Saccharomyces cerevisiae S288C: one gene and its partners. The protein of the gene in region 3 interacts with the protein of the main gene of each other region in a biochemical or structural test. Each region holds a gene or a part of one and is shown on either strand. Other genes may lie near its edges.

Region 1 (6,416 bases), on a different chromosome or scaffold from region 3:
AATTACTCCAAGCTTGCTTCTACCTTGGTTTACCTGGGAGATTATCAGGCTGCTGTTGACACTGCTAGAAAGGCTTCAAACATTAAAGTTTGGAAACTGGTTAACGACGCTTGTATTGAAAAGAAAGAATTCAAGCTGGCTCAAATTTGTGGGTTGAACTTGATCGTTCACGCTGAAGAATTAGATGAACTGGTGGAAAGGTATGAATCAAACGGCTATTTCGAAGAACTGATTTCATTGTTTGAAGCTGGTTTGGGACTTGAAAGAGCTCATATGGGCATGTTCACTGAATTGGCCATTTTGTATTCCAAATATGAACCAGACAAGACCTTCGAACACTTGAAGCTATTCTGGTCCAGAATAAATATTCCAAAGGTTATTAGAGCTGTCGAACAAGCTCACCTCTGGTCGGAATTGGTCTTTTTATATGCTCACTATGATGAATGGGATAATGCTGCTTTAACACTAATCGAAAAATCAACCAAAGACTTGGATCACGCCTATTTCAAAGAAGTTGTTGTCAAAGTTTCTAACTTAGAAATCTATTACAAGGCCATTAATTTCTACGTCAAATTTCACCCATCATTACTAGTTGATCTTTTGACCTCATTGACACCAAGATTAGATATTCCAAGAACTGTCAAAATTTTCTCGAAATCCGACAACTTGCCTTTAATCAAGCCTTTCTTGATCAATGTCTTACCAAAAAATAACTCAGTTGTCAACCAAGCCTACCACGATCTGATGATTGAAGAAGAAGATTATAAAGCTTTGCAAGACGCTGTTGATTCTTATGACAAATTTGACCAATTGGGATTGGCATCTCGTTTGGAATCTCATAAGCTAATTTTTTTCAAGAAAATAGGAGCCCTGTTATACCGTAGAAATAAGAAGTGGGCAAAGAGTCTTTCAATCTTGAAGGAAGAAAAGCTATGGAAGGACGCTATTGAGACGGCAGCAATCTCTCAGGATCCAAAGGTAGTGGAGGCTCTACTCACATATTTCGTTGAAACCGGTAACAGAGAAGGCTTTGTTGCTTTGCTATATGCTGCTTACAACTTAGTGAGAATTGAATTTGTTTTAGAAATATCATGGATGAATTCTTTGGAGGACTACATTAAGCCATTTGAAATCTCCATAAAAAAAGAGCAGAATGATTCCATTAAGAAAATCACCGAAGAACTCGCTAAAAAGTCCGGATCTAATGAAGAGCACAAAGATGGCCAACCTTTGATGCTGATGAACAGCGCGATGAACGTTCAACCCACAGGATTTTAAGACGTGGATAAAATAATTCGTTTGCTGTACCCCATCGTGTATTTTTTTTTTTTTTACCGTTATTATTTTGTTTGTTAGCATCTTTGATTATCTGAGGGGATTTCAAAATGCCAATAAAAAAGACCTTATGAGTTCTGTATTTTTCTTAATATTTTCGAGAGAATTTCCCAACTATAAAATTGTAGATTACAGGAATAAATAAATTGCAGAAACTAAAATGATTGAAACTGCCTTTTCAATTTATATACTTTTATATCAAATTATGTTCAACTCTAGTAGAGTTTCTTTTATTACGCAAACGTCCTATGACCTTGACCGTTAGCATTGAGTGTACATTCAGTCCATTTACATTTCTTAGCATTGATAAATACTATGCCTAAATACCATCATTATTTTTCAGATACATAAGAGTAATTTTCTGTCAGATCAAGGTCTTGCTGGTGAAACCCAGTAAGTGTTATAAAGTCTAATCTCTAAAGTTTGCACCCCTATCAGCCCTAGCAGCCTTTTTCTCTAATTCATCCCAGTCTTCACCTTCCTCACTCTCGTCGCCAGTATAGTCCTCACTTTCATCACCACTAATATCGTCATCCACCTCTGATCCTTCTTCATCTTCAGAAAATGCGCTTTCATCACTTACGTCGTCTTCTGAAGCCTCATATTCACTAACTTCTTCTTCACTTTCATCAGATGCTTCATCATCTGAACCAGTAGCCAGAAAATTCCAACCACCATCTAAGAAAAACTGATATGGATCATCTTGTAATGACTTCATAATAGTTGCCCAATTCAAATTGATTGTTGAGACAGTGTAAGGAATATCCATATCTGTTAACCACTGCTTCAAGAAATCTAAAGATTCGATCGGAACTGTATTGATATGAGTGACGGGTTTATTGAAATCTTTATAAACAAAAACCATGTCGAAGTTTTTCAAACCAAATTGAACTCTTTCTAAAATACAGATTTCGACTTCCTCTAGGTTAATCACCAAAAATGGTGGTTCAATCAATTGAACTAAACAATCTGTAGTTGGCATACAGAAAACTGCCGATCTATTTGGGACACCTTGGAAGCCCAAATCTCTAAATGTATTCTCCACCGTCAATAAACCGTTTGATGCTTCTGCGATTGCGTCTGCAAAATACTTAAATTCTTTATCAAGCGCAGCTCGTTTTCTTCTTTCTTCTTGTTCTTGTTCCAGCTCATCCTCATCACCATATCTTCTGAATCTGGATTGACCTCGTCTTCCACCTCCAGTTTCATCGACGGACATATCAGAAGCTTCACGATAGAATTGGACGTCTTGTATTTTCTTTTTACCCATTAAAATTGGATTCTTCAAATGAATATGAATGACGACAATTAATTCACCTTTACAAGATTGAAAAATTAGATTCTTAATGTTTGAGAATAATATGTCTATTCTGCTATCAGTCCTTAGTGGGGATTGAAATCTGATACCATTTTCATGGATAAAGACAGTACTAGGTACACGTTTTGTATCTGGATTTGGCCTCACAAAAATTTGATCCAGTCTTTTCGTTCTTCCAGTTTTATTTTCAATCAATTTGTCCTGTTGAACAACATCAGCAAGCGCCTTACGTTCTTGCTCTCTCTTTGTGGCTTCTTTTTTCAAATCTGCAATTTGTTTAAAGGTTTCACTCATGCGGTCACCATCTTTGGATCTTAGTGTAATCGAACGTACAAATTGATTGTCTGCTGATTCCTCATACGGCAATTCCTCCACTTTTTTAGAAATACCACCAGAAGATCCCGGTGAATTAAAGTTCAAACGTAAATACGTATATTCGCCTTCTTCGTTTTTAGAACCATTCTTATATGAATTTATATGAAATGGGACTGGCCTACCGTAAATGGGTAGAATAATTGTTTGGCTTTTCCAGTCGACATGAATTCTTAGATCACGAATATTGGTTGGTAGTTGTGAATCCCGAACATAAGATTCATATTTTTTGAAGTATTGACGAGGTTCACTATCTGGGCCATTGGCATCAGCAGCACTAAATCTGAGTAATCCATTCTTTTCCAATTTTTCGTGTAGCTTCTTTTGGTTTTCTTTACGAATTTGCTCCTTTTGAGCGTCTTCGGCACCACCACGGGCTTCGCCACGTAACTTTGTTCTTAAAATTTTGGAATTTCTGTCTGGTTTACTAGGGACTTTGGTGGCAGGTGAAGATTTCTTTTTATTATTGTCTTCTTCTTCATTATTGAAATAAAATGATATCTGGGATTTGGCTTTGGTGTAATTTGTTAAGAAGCGTGGAGGCTCTGTTTCATCGAGAGGAATTTGAACCGTATCAGCTAATTGTAAAGCGTAGTTGTTAGCACTTTGAGAATCTTTCAGATTATTGAAACCAAACGAAATATTAAAGCAGTCACCGCGTTGGATTTTACGGTAATCATTCTTAACATTTAATATAAAGTTAGAATCTCTAAATTCGAGACCAATCAATGAACCAATGTTTTTGGTGAAATTGGGCACTAGTTCAGGTTTGGTTTTTTCGATGTATTCTATTACTGATTCATAAACTTCTTTTGGTGTACGGCCGGGCTTCAGAATGTTAGTTACAATTTCTTTTTGCAAAGTTAATAGAAAATCGTAGTTGTTGGCCATTTCTTCAGATGGATCGATCAAAAAGGTCCTAGTAATATTAGAACAATAATTATTGTAACGAATACCACATGAAGCTAAAATACAACCGTTGCCGTACAACTGATCATTGGTAGAACGGGCAGAAACCCTAAGATCAAACTTTTTCCCGGACTGAATGATTGGAGAATAGGTCCAATCCAATAAATCAAAGTTGAATTTGTAGTTTGGTGGGCATAATGCGCTTAAATCGGGACTCAATTGCTTCAAAAATTTCACATCATCAATTTTATTTTCAATTTTGTCTGATAACTTGGCATTGGTGATTTTCAACTCCTCGTCAACTGCCCGAACCATTTCATTGGATAAAAGGTCCATAAATTTGTCCGACCCCTTACTTGAAACGGACAGGAAGGCTTGTTCGTTAACATCCTTCACTTCCCAAACTTTAGAAAGACCCAGCGAAATATCAATGACATTGAATTCGTTCTCCTTCACAGCCGCTTCCCATACTGGGTTCCACTCAGTCATAAATTTACCTTGGTAAGAGTCCTTTTCAGGGATACCCACTGTTTTACCAGCGCTATTGATTAAGGCAATAACGTCATCAAATAACTTTTTATTGAGTTCTGGTTCTTTATTGTTTCTTTGCCACAATTCCAGCGTAATTTTGCTTTCAGGGTCTTTAAATAGATCAATTGCCTTTTGTAAATGCTTGGCCTTGGCAGAACTAGTAATTATAATAACCTTTCCGGGAACTAATGCAATCAAAGTAGCGGGAAATTCGTAACTTAGCAACCAATTATGCAATATGGTCGTCTTCTGGTACGGGTTTTCAGCGTTGGACGAACCTAAAACAAACAGCAGCGAATTTGGAGAACCTTCAAACTCATTGTACTTGGAATACAACAATTCAATCCTTTTCTTAAATACGTCAAAATCAATATTCAGCTCTTCCATATTCACTTAAATACACGAAGCCAGTTCACGAAAGGTGCAATATCAGAAAGGAGTAAAGTTGGAATAGCTGAACTTTTTACCTTTTAGTCCCGTGACTCTCTTAGCTACTTTTATTCCTCTTCTCACCAATATTAAGATTTCAATATTCTTTCGTTAGAAAAGTGGCGATTCTCATTTTCCGAAAAAAAAAAAGATCACGCGACTTCCGGGTATTAGTATCGTGGTTTGTGATAACAATAAGCATTGAGAGTACTGAGCCCATTAGTAAATCATTATGTTATATGCTTCTATATCTCTGCTTACACTAAATTGGAAATAGAAATTAGTGTGCCATAGCTGCCAAAAATATATACAATACGCCTTTAAAAAGTAGGAATCCCGGATTACGAGGACTCTATGGGCGTATAAAGAATCTGGGTGACATATTTCTGTTTATATCGAACGATGGAGGCTACACAAAGTGTATTGTGCTTAATGCTACTAGTAACCAAGTGGTTAAGCACCACATGGTTCGGAATGGGCAGAGCGCCTGAGTTGTTCTCGTTGAACTGGTCTTGCGTGGCATAGTATTTATTCAAGATAACATTCTCCAACTGAGGAGGTAATTGGGGTGGTGTCAGCCATGACGTATCAGTATTGCTTTGCTGACGATCCAAGGTATAATAGTATCGTTCCATGACAGACGGGTCAGTAAACACGGCGGGAATGTCTGTTGTATATTCCAACGGAGGTCTGGGTGACAGATCTTCATGAAACCTTGTATATCCGTCACCAAAATCGTCTGGATCCTTACCAATTTGTAGAGCAATTGAGGATCGATCGCTGGTGGGAGGTCGCATGGAATCTGCTTCCTTGGACCTTATCTTTTCGTTAGTTGGGTTTTTTTCTGGTTGCCTGACTTCTATGTAATTGACGAAGTTTCCCATCTGATCAGTTGCTGTGGGCAGGAAATCACTAACTCTAAGCTCATTATCCACTATAAATCTGAATCTATGTGTGCCTGGAAGCAGCCTTAGCTTCACATGAAATGAGCCATTATTGTCAGAATCAGGTATCAAACCGATCATTTTCCTCCATTTGGTGAATGAGCCTGTCACGTAAACTTTTGAACCACCTTGCTGCCACCTTATCTCCACGGGAACCATTAATGAGCTCTTGATTTCACTTGGACCTCCCGAAGCTTCTTTGGCACGTATTTGCTGTTGTCCCTCCTCTCTGGGCGAAGAATGGCCTGAGCGATCATCATCAGGACTGGCATCTTGCTTGGGCTCTGTCGTCTGGGCAATAATATCTCCCTCTTCATCATCGCTAGTAGACGAAGACCCAGAGTCAGTGTCCACAGCAGTTTCCATAACAGATAGCTTTGGCATAGTGGGCTCGTCCTCATCACGCAGCAATAACGTCGATTTTTTTTTGGTAATAGATCCCTCCCTTGAAGGCTGCCCCGCGTCTTGGGAATCTGAACATTTATTTAAGCTCAGTTCAGTAACTTTCTTGCTCACAGCATCCATTTCTTGCGGTTCGCAGCCTTGAGCATTGCTGGGTTTTTCTCTAACGTCACTCA
Region 2 (3,983 bases), on a different chromosome or scaffold from region 3:
GGATTTTTCTTCTCTTTCAGGAATTTTATCATTCGGGGTTACTGGTTTTTTAGTAAACTTGGGAGTGCTGGACCTATTGGGTGTCTTATTGTCATTTGGCATTGGCTGTTTTCTTCGCTTTTTTGGTATTGTGGGTTGAAGCTTCCTTTTTTTTTTTATCCCCTGCAAAACGATGTCCAGTTAGAACTCTGACTGAATTATAAAACCTGAAAAGCGCTTATTTCGTTATAGGTTTATAAAAAGCTTCACTATTACTGTTATACCGTTTTTGTTTATGTGATGCGCTTTTGTTCATCTATTTAGTAATATGATTTGCGTTCGTTCTCAACGATAAAAATATTGACTAAGTACTTAATGGCAGTGCACATGTTTAAGGACGTTATAGCCAGTTACAAACACTTATGTTATTATTTCATTTATAGTATACTGCGGATATATGTACTCACATACAAAAATTTATTATATTTTCATTAATTTAAAAAAAAGAAAAGATATTTAGAAGACATTGCGCAAGGTCATTAATCCTTACCTAGCTTGTTCAAGATGTCAGCCCAAACAGTAGCAGGAGGTTGGGAAGCATCAACACCAGCCCAGATACCGGTCTTTTTGTAAAAGTCAACAATTGGTTCGGTTTGAGCATGGTAAGCAGCTAATCTCTTCTTCAAGGCGTCTGCATTGTCATCAGATCTTTGAACTAAAGCTTCACCGGTGACGTCATCCTTCATGTCTTCCTTTGGTGGGTTAAAGATCTTGTGGTAGGATCTGCCAGAGGCTGGGTGAATTAATCTACCGGTAATTCTGGCAACCAACAATTCATCATCAACCTTCAATTCGATGGCTTTTTCCAAAGGAGTTCCTTGTTCTTTCAACATTTGGTCCAATTTTTCAGCCTGAGGAATGGTTCTTGGGAAACCGTCCAAGATGAACCCATTCTTACAAGCTGGATTGTTGGTCAATTCATCCTTGATCATGTTAACCATAATGTCATCAGAGACTAAACCACCTTGGTCCATAATTTTCTTTGCTTCCAAACCTAATTGAGTGCCCTTTGCGATTTGAGATCTCAACATGTCACCAGTGGCCAAGTGAGCGGCATGGAAACGCTCTTGCAAATTTGGAGCTTGAGTACCTTTACCGGCACCAGGTGGGCCAATTAGGACCATTCTAATGGATTCTGAGCTAGACATTACTGTTATATTTGATGCTGTGTGGTGACTTTACCAGAGAAACGTTAATGTTTCTTTATTAAAGCTCTCGTTTCTGATAAACCAGGTAATCCATTTCAGAAATTTATGCGTATATATATATACAAATATGCGTAATAAAACTAGCCAGAGTGAAAAAGTCGAAAATCAAAAAAAAATGGGCGAATAAGGACAGAAGCCGCGGGCTGCTGCGGACAGTTCTCCGTGACAGGATCGCGCAATCGTGAGCTTTTTTCCTTTGGTTGTGAAAATTTCGTCACACTATCAAAGTGAACAAAGCACAGAATGTGTTTGCTACTCAATCATGTTCAAGTAAGCAACAGTGCCCAATGAACCTAAACAGAGCAACAGAGAAAACAGGAAGACACAACAAAAAATTTATATCATGCATGACATATGTTACCGTTAATTATATACCCAATAAATTATATATAGAAAAATAAAAAGGAAAAACAGAAAGGTCTAATAGACACTTAATATAGTTACAATGGAGAAGCAGTTTAGTTCCTTCCGCCTTCTTTAAAATACCAGAACCGATCTTATAATTCTTGAGAAGCCTTGGTAGCCTTGGCAGACTTCTTTGGCAACAAGTTTTGATGGATGTTTGGCAAAACACCACCTTGGGCAATGGTAACGTTACCCAATAGCTTGTTCAATTCGTCATCATTTCTGATAGCCAATTGCAAATGTCTTGGAATAATTCTGGTCTTCTTGTTATCCCTAGCAGCATTACCAGCTAATTCTAAAATTTCAGCGGCCAAATATTCCAAGACAGCAGTCAAGTAGACTGGAGCACCAGAACCAATTCTTTGGGCGTAGTTACCTCTTCTTAGCAATCTGTGCACTCTACCGACTGGGAATGTCAAACCAGCCTTAGCAGATCTAGATTGAGAAGCTTTAGCAGCTGAACCAGCTTTACCACCTTTACCACCGGACATTTTATATTTTATATGTATGAAATTTGTTTGTTTTGAAGTTGTTTATTCACTGAGAAATAACCAAATCCGTATGATGATGTAGTATCAAGAAGAGAAGTACAGATTGGAAGTAAATAGATGATGGTTCAACAAGACCAGAAAATCTACAAGCTGATTAGGAGTCTTATTTATATATTTTTTAGGTCAAGACTTATTGCTAGTATTTACGATCCACTGGCTGGCTTCGTGAACGGGGAAGGGGGTGAGAAAAGATTTTGAAATCAACAAAGTGGGCAATAACAAATAACAGCATGAGAAACCACATATCTCTACGGGCGTTTCTTCAACAACGACGAGTTAACTATTGTGCTCTTTTTTTGAGCCACCAAATACACTCCATTCCAATAGCTTCGCACAGTGAGGCGAAAATTTTGGAACAGCGCTAATGAATTATTTGTGAGCTCGGCGAGTTCAAATTTGAAGAAAACGCGGTTGGGTCGTTAACTATGGTTAGACGCTCAATGTCGCCCGAAAGGGAAGGCTGTTCTCACTTTTTCGCGCGTTGCACCCTTTCTTCCGCGAAAAAATGAGAACGATGGATTTAAAATCAAGAGAATTGGCCTTAGTAGTGGCAAATACTACCTTGGTTGGTTATCTTGTAACGATTGGTAAGAAAGGGGCATCTCTGTTTTCTTGATGTATATAAACAACATGATTTGATCATCTCAGATGGTCAGATTTATTAAAGACGTTTCTCTTTCCGCATTTTCGATTATTGTTATATTAAATTTATCCTATATAGACAAGTCAAACCACAAATAAACCATACACACATACAATGTCTGCTAAAGCCGAAAAGAAACCAGCCTCCAAAGCCCCAGCTGAAAAGAAACCAGCCGCTAAAAAGACTTCCACTTCCACTGATGGTAAGAAGAGAAGCAAGGCTAGAAAGGAAACATACTCTTCTTACATTTACAAAGTTTTGAAGCAAACTCACCCTGACACTGGTATTTCCCAAAAGTCCATGTCTATCTTGAACTCTTTCGTTAACGATATCTTTGAAAGAATCGCTACTGAAGCTTCTAAATTGGCTGCGTATAACAAGAAGTCTACTATCTCTGCTAGAGAAATTCAAACCGCTGTTAGATTGATCTTACCAGGTGAATTGGCTAAGCATGCTGTCTCTGAAGGTACTAGAGCTGTTACCAAGTACTCTTCCTCTACTCAAGCATAATGAAATCACTTCCTTTGGTTATAATTAATATTATTATTTATATGGGTATATAAAAATTAAAGTAAAGTAAAAAAAATTGTATAATAGTTTAATAATTTTAATGATTATAAGATATTTACTCGGTTGTAAAATTGTGTTCTCGAAATTACAAATGGTCTCATAGAGGGAATGCGCTTATGCGGCAAGGCAGTTTACTTGTAAGACTAATTATAAGAAGAATAAATAGTGTTGCTTATTAATGACTCAGAAAAGTTTCCACATGATATTTATTAGCTTTCGAAACTTCAGAGCATTGGCTCGTGTGAACAATACTAGATTTTTCCTCAAATTTTAATTCGTATTGCAGTTGCTAACTATTACAATTTTTGTTTATTTTATGCCTTGGAGATTGAACCCTCTGTTGTGATTAACTTCCTGTAAAAACTCCACGCAAGAAACAAAATATAAAAATAAAAAAAAAATTGGTAAAAAAATGAACAATAGAATACGCACGTATAAAAAAATACTAAAAATAAAATAAATGCCACCGACTCTATAAGTACACAGCAATAGTAATTAAAAAAAGACAGATGTCGCTGACTGGATCGTCAGCTGCACTTCAGTATTCCTTGATCCTCTCTCAAGTGG
Region 3 (6,629 bases):
CATTTTTTCAGCAAGGTAATCATTGACTTCAAGTTCTAATACTCTTCTCCCATATTTTGCCTCCAGTTTCCGCTTTCTCTCATATGAAGTAACGGTATCATCTAGATATTCCTCAATAATATCGGTCGATAACGAAACTTTCTTGCCACATTTATTGTTGTAACCATGCCAGGCATGCAAGCAGTCAAAGCAAAATACAAAATGACATTTTTGACACTGAATCATCGCATCATCGAGGTCTTCTTTTGTGCACCAACTATCACATCTTCGACAAGTCACACAAGCATACGGACAATATTTTGAGAGTCTTGTAGCCGCCTGGTTGTAGAACATTTTTTCGTATCTTTCACATAGCTCTGTATCGATAACCTCTTTTAAGAAGGACACTGGAATCAAAGGTGTAAACAATGCCTTCAGCATTTTTTTATAGCTCTTGAAATCTTCTAGTTTTAATTCTTTGTATTCGCATTGTGGACATCTTACACTGGATATTCGGTTTTCCTGAATCATTGCAGTGAAATAAGATTTGGCGCATCCTCTGCAAAGATAGTGTTCTACATTCGCATTTTCACATGGCAATTTGATCATTCTAACACCCTTTTCCATTTCCATACAAATACAACAATGGTAGTTAGATCTGCTCACTTTTTGGAGGGTGGCTTCCTCACTTATCTGCTTAAACAAGTCATACTGATCCTGTGTCAGGCACTTTCTTATTCCATTAGGGAATAGTAATATAGCTGTATCATCTATAAGAAACCCAAAGATGAGGATAAGGATGGAGGTAAACGAATCCGCGAACTCAATACTCATATCTACAGTTTCTTCAACGAGTCTCAGCGCTTTGTCAATTAACATCTTCTTTTCATCTGTTGATATCCATAAGGATTTGATATCCATAACAACACACCGTCGAATGTCCGGATAATGACAGCTATATATGGTGAACTCCACGCATTCATTAGATAAGTTTGAAAGTAACATATGTTGCTCGCCGAACTCAATATTTACATCGGCCAATAGTGATATCTTGAACAGTAACTTTCCGTTAATTCTTTGAGGGAATTCACCTTCCTCCTCTACTTTTACCGATTTCATTTCCAGTTCTGGGTACATATCTCTTAATATTTCCAAATCATTTTCAAACTGAGTCAAAGCCATTTTACTCCCTGGTCTTTCATCAGTTATATTAGTTTTCTGTAATTCGTTATTCTACACCATGACATAACTTACTGGTGACTAAATGAGAAAAGCAAAGTCCCTTTCTCTTGCTTGTTATTTATTTTTGAACCCTTTACACTATTTGTCTTTTTTTCATCACCCAATCGAAAAGTTGAAAGTATTTTTCAAGCATTGAAAGGGTAGAGGAGATTAACAAAACATAAATATTTTGCAAAACAAAACCAATTTCAAATAAATGTATAGAATAACACCAGTAATTAAGAGGTGGTGTCTTACACTCACCATGTCATGATAATATCAATTGGCAAAATATATTAGTTAGTTTTTACACAATATCAATAAATTTAACTTATACAGTCTAAAATTATTACTATTCTACCTTAGGCTTCTTCGAAGGCCTTTCTTCGTCGCTACCCCCCTCAGCATCACTTAAAGCCGCATCTGAATCAAACTCTTCTGCAACTTCGTCTGCGTCATTATCAGAGCTGACCTGAAAATCCTCATCTACTGATTCATCATCTTCACCAGCGGAACCCATATTAATATCCTCTTCGTCACTGTCTGAACCTAAAGCGGTTTGTAACCTTTCTTGTACCTCTCTATCTTCATTCTTCACCCTTAGGTTTTTAGACTTTAGGAATTGTTCCAATAATTGCTGCTCTTCCTTACTGATGTTGGCAAAAGTGGTAGAACCTCTATTTGAACGCAGTACCACTTCCAAATCAAACGTCCTCGATGACGTAGAAGTTTGTCCTGCTCTTGAAATGTTTACCATGCTAACATCACTGAATGGTATGTACAAAGTTGGCTTAGTTAAAAAGAAGAAAGCGTTATCTAATGGATACAAATAACCTTCGTTTGCTTTGAAAGAACATGAAACTGCACACTGATCATATTTGGATTTATATTCTCCAGGAACAATGACTCTACGGTCAGTCAGACCTTTTAATACATGACTTAAAACTATATGAGTTTTAGCATCATATTGTTTTTTCAATTTATCCTTATAATTTTCCTCATAATCTTCATCTTCTAGATTCAATTGCACTTCTGTTTCCTCATCTTTCTGAAATTGTAAGACAAGAAAGGGGTAGGTGGTCTGTCCTTGACGTAAAGGAGGTTCAATTGCCAAAACCAATAAGTGATGGATATCATCTGCCTTTGGTAACGAAACAATTCTTTGTATTTGACGATGTTGCAATTTGTATTCATAGGTCTTACCCCTGAGTCTAATGGAGTTCTTGTAAATATCGATATCATAACGACCTCTTGGCGTGGTAAAAAAGACGTCTTGGAAGGAAACTATTGCATCACCAGCGACTTCCCCGATGTCTGCCTTTTCCTTTAGTTCTTCATAGAATGCTTCTGCCATACTCTTTTCCTCTACTGCCATTTGTACATCTTCTCCTTCAGCACCATCTTCTTTCTTTGGTACGACCTCGTTGCTTGACTCTTCCTTTTTGGTCATGTTTTCATCGACGTTTGTTTGAATAACACCAGGAATATAGAACCTCATCTCTACCAATTCGTCACCGGCTGGTTGGTACTCTTCATCTTGAATATTAAATTCTATTCCTACTTCATTTTTAGAGGTCAAATTTGTATTATTTATTCTAGCATAAGGAATTTCAAAAGTTGGTTTACCATTTAAAGCAAAAACCATTTCATTCCTGGCAAGGTCTGTCTTACCCCAGTTCCAACCACGTAAGGAATGTTCTCTTTGCTCTACCTGAATATTAAAACGGCGATGGAAATCATTCTTGATTAAGTTATAGTCATCCTGAGAAAATCCATCTAGTTGGATAACACCTTGATTTTTGGTATTTATCTTCAAGTCGTAACCCCTGCAGCCCCTACTCCATTGGACGGTAGATAATTCTGTGGCTGGTAATAAAAATGGTTTTCTTGCCTGATTTGCTGCAGAGCCACCACTGGTACTAATTTTCCACCCTAACCCAGAATCAGCAATACGGAATCTACCGCTAAATTTAGATTGGTTCAAGTAAATTCTATCAAAGTCGGTACTCATAATTCTTGTTCAACAATACTAGATTGTTCCTTCACTTGTTAACGGTATTTCCTTCTTGTTCTTACCACCGATTCAACATCTAGCTACTCTCATACTATGTATATCTCTGACACTCGCGTTAACATTTCACCAGTTTAACGATTCGTTTCGCGTTGAACCGGGTTATACAATCGTTCTTCGCGATGATAATAACAATAACTCCAAGAAAAGTAAGCTTTTTCTATATATATATATCATAAGTATCTTGATATGTATTCGTGAGCCAAGTACTTACAAGGCGCTTTGAACCCCCTTCAAAAACTCACATAGGCCTACTGCACCAGGATCTTCTACTTGAGATGAATCGCCGACATACGAAGCTCTGCCAAATTTGGCCTCGAATGTAGCAGTGGATTTAGCACCTTCCTCTGCAGCTTTTACCGCCTTATTGAAATCCTTAGATGCAGTAAATTCTTTAACGAATGGTTCTAAAGCATCAATCATGGTGGATGATCCCTTCCTTGCCTTTGTATATTTGTATAAAGTATCCAATGCAATTCCGAGTGACTTAGCCACAATTTCCTTAGTGACGGGTTCATCCTTTGATTTACAAACCTGAATTAATCCGTGTGAAAAACCCGACAAAAGAATAGAATATAAACCACCAGAAGTACCTCCCATTGAGCCTTCAATGAAATCTGAAATTTGGGCAACCGCCTGAGATAATGAGTCCTTCGACAGCTTGTCAAGGTTTTCGGTGATGCCTTTAACTCCTGCCACTAAAGTGTAACCACAATCACCATCACCAACTTGATTGTCTAGTTCCGTAATGTGCGGTTCGCTCTTGATAACTTGTTCAGCACCACTCTTCATCCACTCAGCAAACTTGTCAAAGTCATAGGTACCGACGGCCTTTGCTGTTACTTCATTATGTAACAAGTCATCGTTAACAGATGGGGCAGAAGTCTTTTCAAAATCTGCAATTGGCCAGCCCGGTGCGTTCGTAAATGCGTTCAACAAGTCTAGTACTGATTTGATCTCCTCAAAATCAGATTGCAAAGCCTTTGTAGCCTTAGTGGCGTTTAGTAATGTGATACTGAACCCATTACCATTGAAGGAGGTCATCAATGTGCCAGCAATTGTTTGAACCGGGGTTATGTTGTAATTTTCCTTTAAGAAATCCGTAGTTTTGGAAGTGATAGAACTAATAACAAAATTAGAAACACCGCCGAGATTGTTAACTAACAAGACAACTTCATCATCTTCATCAAACTTTACAAAAGCTCTATCCTTATCGTTTGGATCCAATAGTTTTGGTAGCATATACTTGGAGATCAAGTCTTCGGTAGAAGGAATAGGGTCTAAAACTTTCACACCAGGTTCGTTATGAATACCCATACCCAATTCCATTTGTTTTTCGTTTAATTCACTTTCGAATTTCCTGCCAGGAACTTTACAATGGTCTAAAGAAGATCCAATGGTCACCAAATTGTCGTTGATAATTTTAGCCACTTTAGCTGTACCGTCTAAGCCATACTTACTAGAATATTCTTCTGCGAAGGCACCTACAATCTTATGAACCAAAACGGTACCTGCCAATGCTCTTCTACCAACCATACCACCCTTTTCTCTGCCAACTGCAACATCATCACCTATGACAGCAACGCGGCAGTTAATACCCAAGGCTCTTGCTCTCTCAGCGGACAGACCAAAATGCAAAACATCACCTGTGTAGTTCTTCACAATCAATAAAACGCCAGACGCATTTTCATTGACTAAACGGATTGCATTTAAAATCTGTTTTGTTGAAGGGGATGCAAAAATTTCGCCAACCACGGCGCCACTCAACATACCCTTACCAATGAAACCGGCGTGTGTAGGTTCATGTCCACTACCACCACCAGAAATTAATGCGATCTTGTCGGAATCGGTCTTTCTGAAGAGAATTTTTTCTTCAGGGACCAGCGTAATGGAGGGGTTAGCAAGGGCAAACCCTTTGAGACTTGAATTGACTGGATCTGTGACTTCAAACGATTTAGCGGACATTTAAAATTTAGTCTTAGATATAGAATGTAATCTTATTCTTTGATGTGTTCGTTTACAGTTGCTACAAATAGTGACTACTTGTAGCGAAGTTGAAGTGATTTTCTCCTTATATATTTATTCATCAGTTAGTTCGACAGACGCTCGCGAGGTGGCCACTCTTTCAAAATGACGCAATTGGGAGTGGTTTGATCTTTCTCCCTTAGAAGCCAAATTGGCAAGCACTCACTCCGGGCCAGATTTACACCATGTTTGTAGCGCATTTAAATCAGGAAATGCATTATATTTCACTCTCTCGTCTAGCGAGTCTTAATGTTCATGACGGGGGAGCTTTATGCCTTGTTTTTTATCACAGCGCCAGACAATTGACAGTAACAAATAAAGGCAAAAAACCCTTGAATAGCACCAGAGGTGTTTACTGATTGCTTTTAAAGTACGTATAAAACTGTAAAATATAGATTAAATTCGACCGCCATTACTTTAGAGTTGAAATTGGGAAGCCGTATATTGCCATTTCAGCCATGCTTCTATGGTTCCTAATGGAAGCATGAATGACATACGCAATTTGATGAGCTTGAAAAGGGCGTAATTGACAAGCCAGATTTGAATCTAATCCCTTGAGAAATTATCTGCAAGTAGTAAAAAAATCTCTAAAAGATGTATAATTGAGTCGCCTAGAGACCTCATTCATCATGATATTTGACACCTTAATTTTGATAGTAGCGGGTCAGTCATTAAGAAGAAAGTGAGCTGGGGCTAATCATCAACGATCTCCCATAATTACGTACGTCAAAGACAACACGTTGGCAAAGGTAAGAAGAACGTAGTGCGTATCATGCTTACGGTGAATTTCACCCTTTTTTTCTGTTATTCGTGCTGATCCACGGGGTATTCAATTGAAGATATTATCTTTATCATCATATCGGTAAGCGTCTGGGAGAAGCAACTGGTCAAACGTTTTCAAAAACCATTCTTTAAACAACAAACCGATCAATGTTCTTGATCAGCTTATCAATCTATCCGATCTCCTGCGTTCAGCGTGACCGCCACACTTATGTCTAGATAATTTAACTTCCAGTTGCTAATTTCCCGCTAAAGTATCTTATGTTTACCATCACTGTAGCCGCCCTATCATATGCAACACTTCCATACTCATTTTCGGAATAAGAAGCAACTATCATCTAACGACTAGTATTTATATTACTGGTATATTACCATATTGGGTATAAGACGGTCAAATAAATATTGAGAAACAGTCACCAATTTTAATGGAAATTGAAATGAAAGGGTTGATAATGTGCTAGGAAAATGAACGAGAACATACAAAATGAAAGAAGAAATAATAATATTCCTACACAGAAATATCGGTTCTCTATTGTGGATTTTCATATTCTCG

What was found. The genes of interacting proteins can lie anywhere in the genome.
Region 1: the proteins of POB3 (region 3) and SPT16 form a complex in vitro, tested with the Saccharomyces cerevisiae proteins (6 studies listed by BioGRID).
Region 2: the proteins of POB3 (region 3) and HTA1 form a complex in vitro, tested with the Saccharomyces cerevisiae proteins (3 studies listed by BioGRID).

The regions. Positions count from the first base shown.
Region 1 is NC_001139.9:97,405-103,820, reverse strand, and holds SPT16 (chromatin-remodeling protein SPT16), read right to left. Parts: upstream 4,853-6,416; coding exon 1,745-4,852; downstream 1-1,744. Other genes in the region: CHC1 (clathrin heavy chain), read left to right, coding at 1-1,278; SIP2 (Sip2p), read right to left, coding at 5,236-6,416. UniProt on the Saccharomyces cerevisiae protein: Component of the FACT complex, a general chromatin factor that acts to reorganize nucleosomes. The FACT complex is involved in multiple processes that require DNA as a template such as mRNA elongation, DNA replication and DNA repair.
Region 2 is NC_001136.10:913,690-917,672, reverse strand, and holds HTA1 (histone H2A), read right to left. Parts: upstream 2,144-3,983; coding exon 1,745-2,143; downstream 1-1,744. Other genes in the region: chromatin-silencing protein SIR4, read right to left, coding at 1-102; adenylate kinase ADK1, read right to left, coding at 519-1,187; HTB1 (histone H2B), read left to right, coding at 2,961-3,356. UniProt on the Saccharomyces cerevisiae protein: Core component of nucleosome which plays a central role in DNA double strand break (DSB) repair. Nucleosomes wrap and compact DNA into chromatin, limiting DNA accessibility to the cellular machineries which require DNA as a template.
Region 3 is NC_001145.3:132,082-138,710, reverse strand, and holds POB3 (FACT complex subunit POB3), read right to left. Parts: upstream 3,212-6,629; coding exon 1,553-3,211; downstream 1-1,552. Other genes in the region: ITT1 (RBR-type E3 ubiquitin transferase), read right to left, coding at 1-1,161; DAK1 (dihydroxyacetone kinase), read right to left, coding at 3,482-5,236. UniProt on the Saccharomyces cerevisiae protein: Component of the FACT complex, a general chromatin factor that acts to reorganize nucleosomes. The FACT complex is involved in multiple processes that require DNA as a template such as mRNA elongation, DNA replication and DNA repair.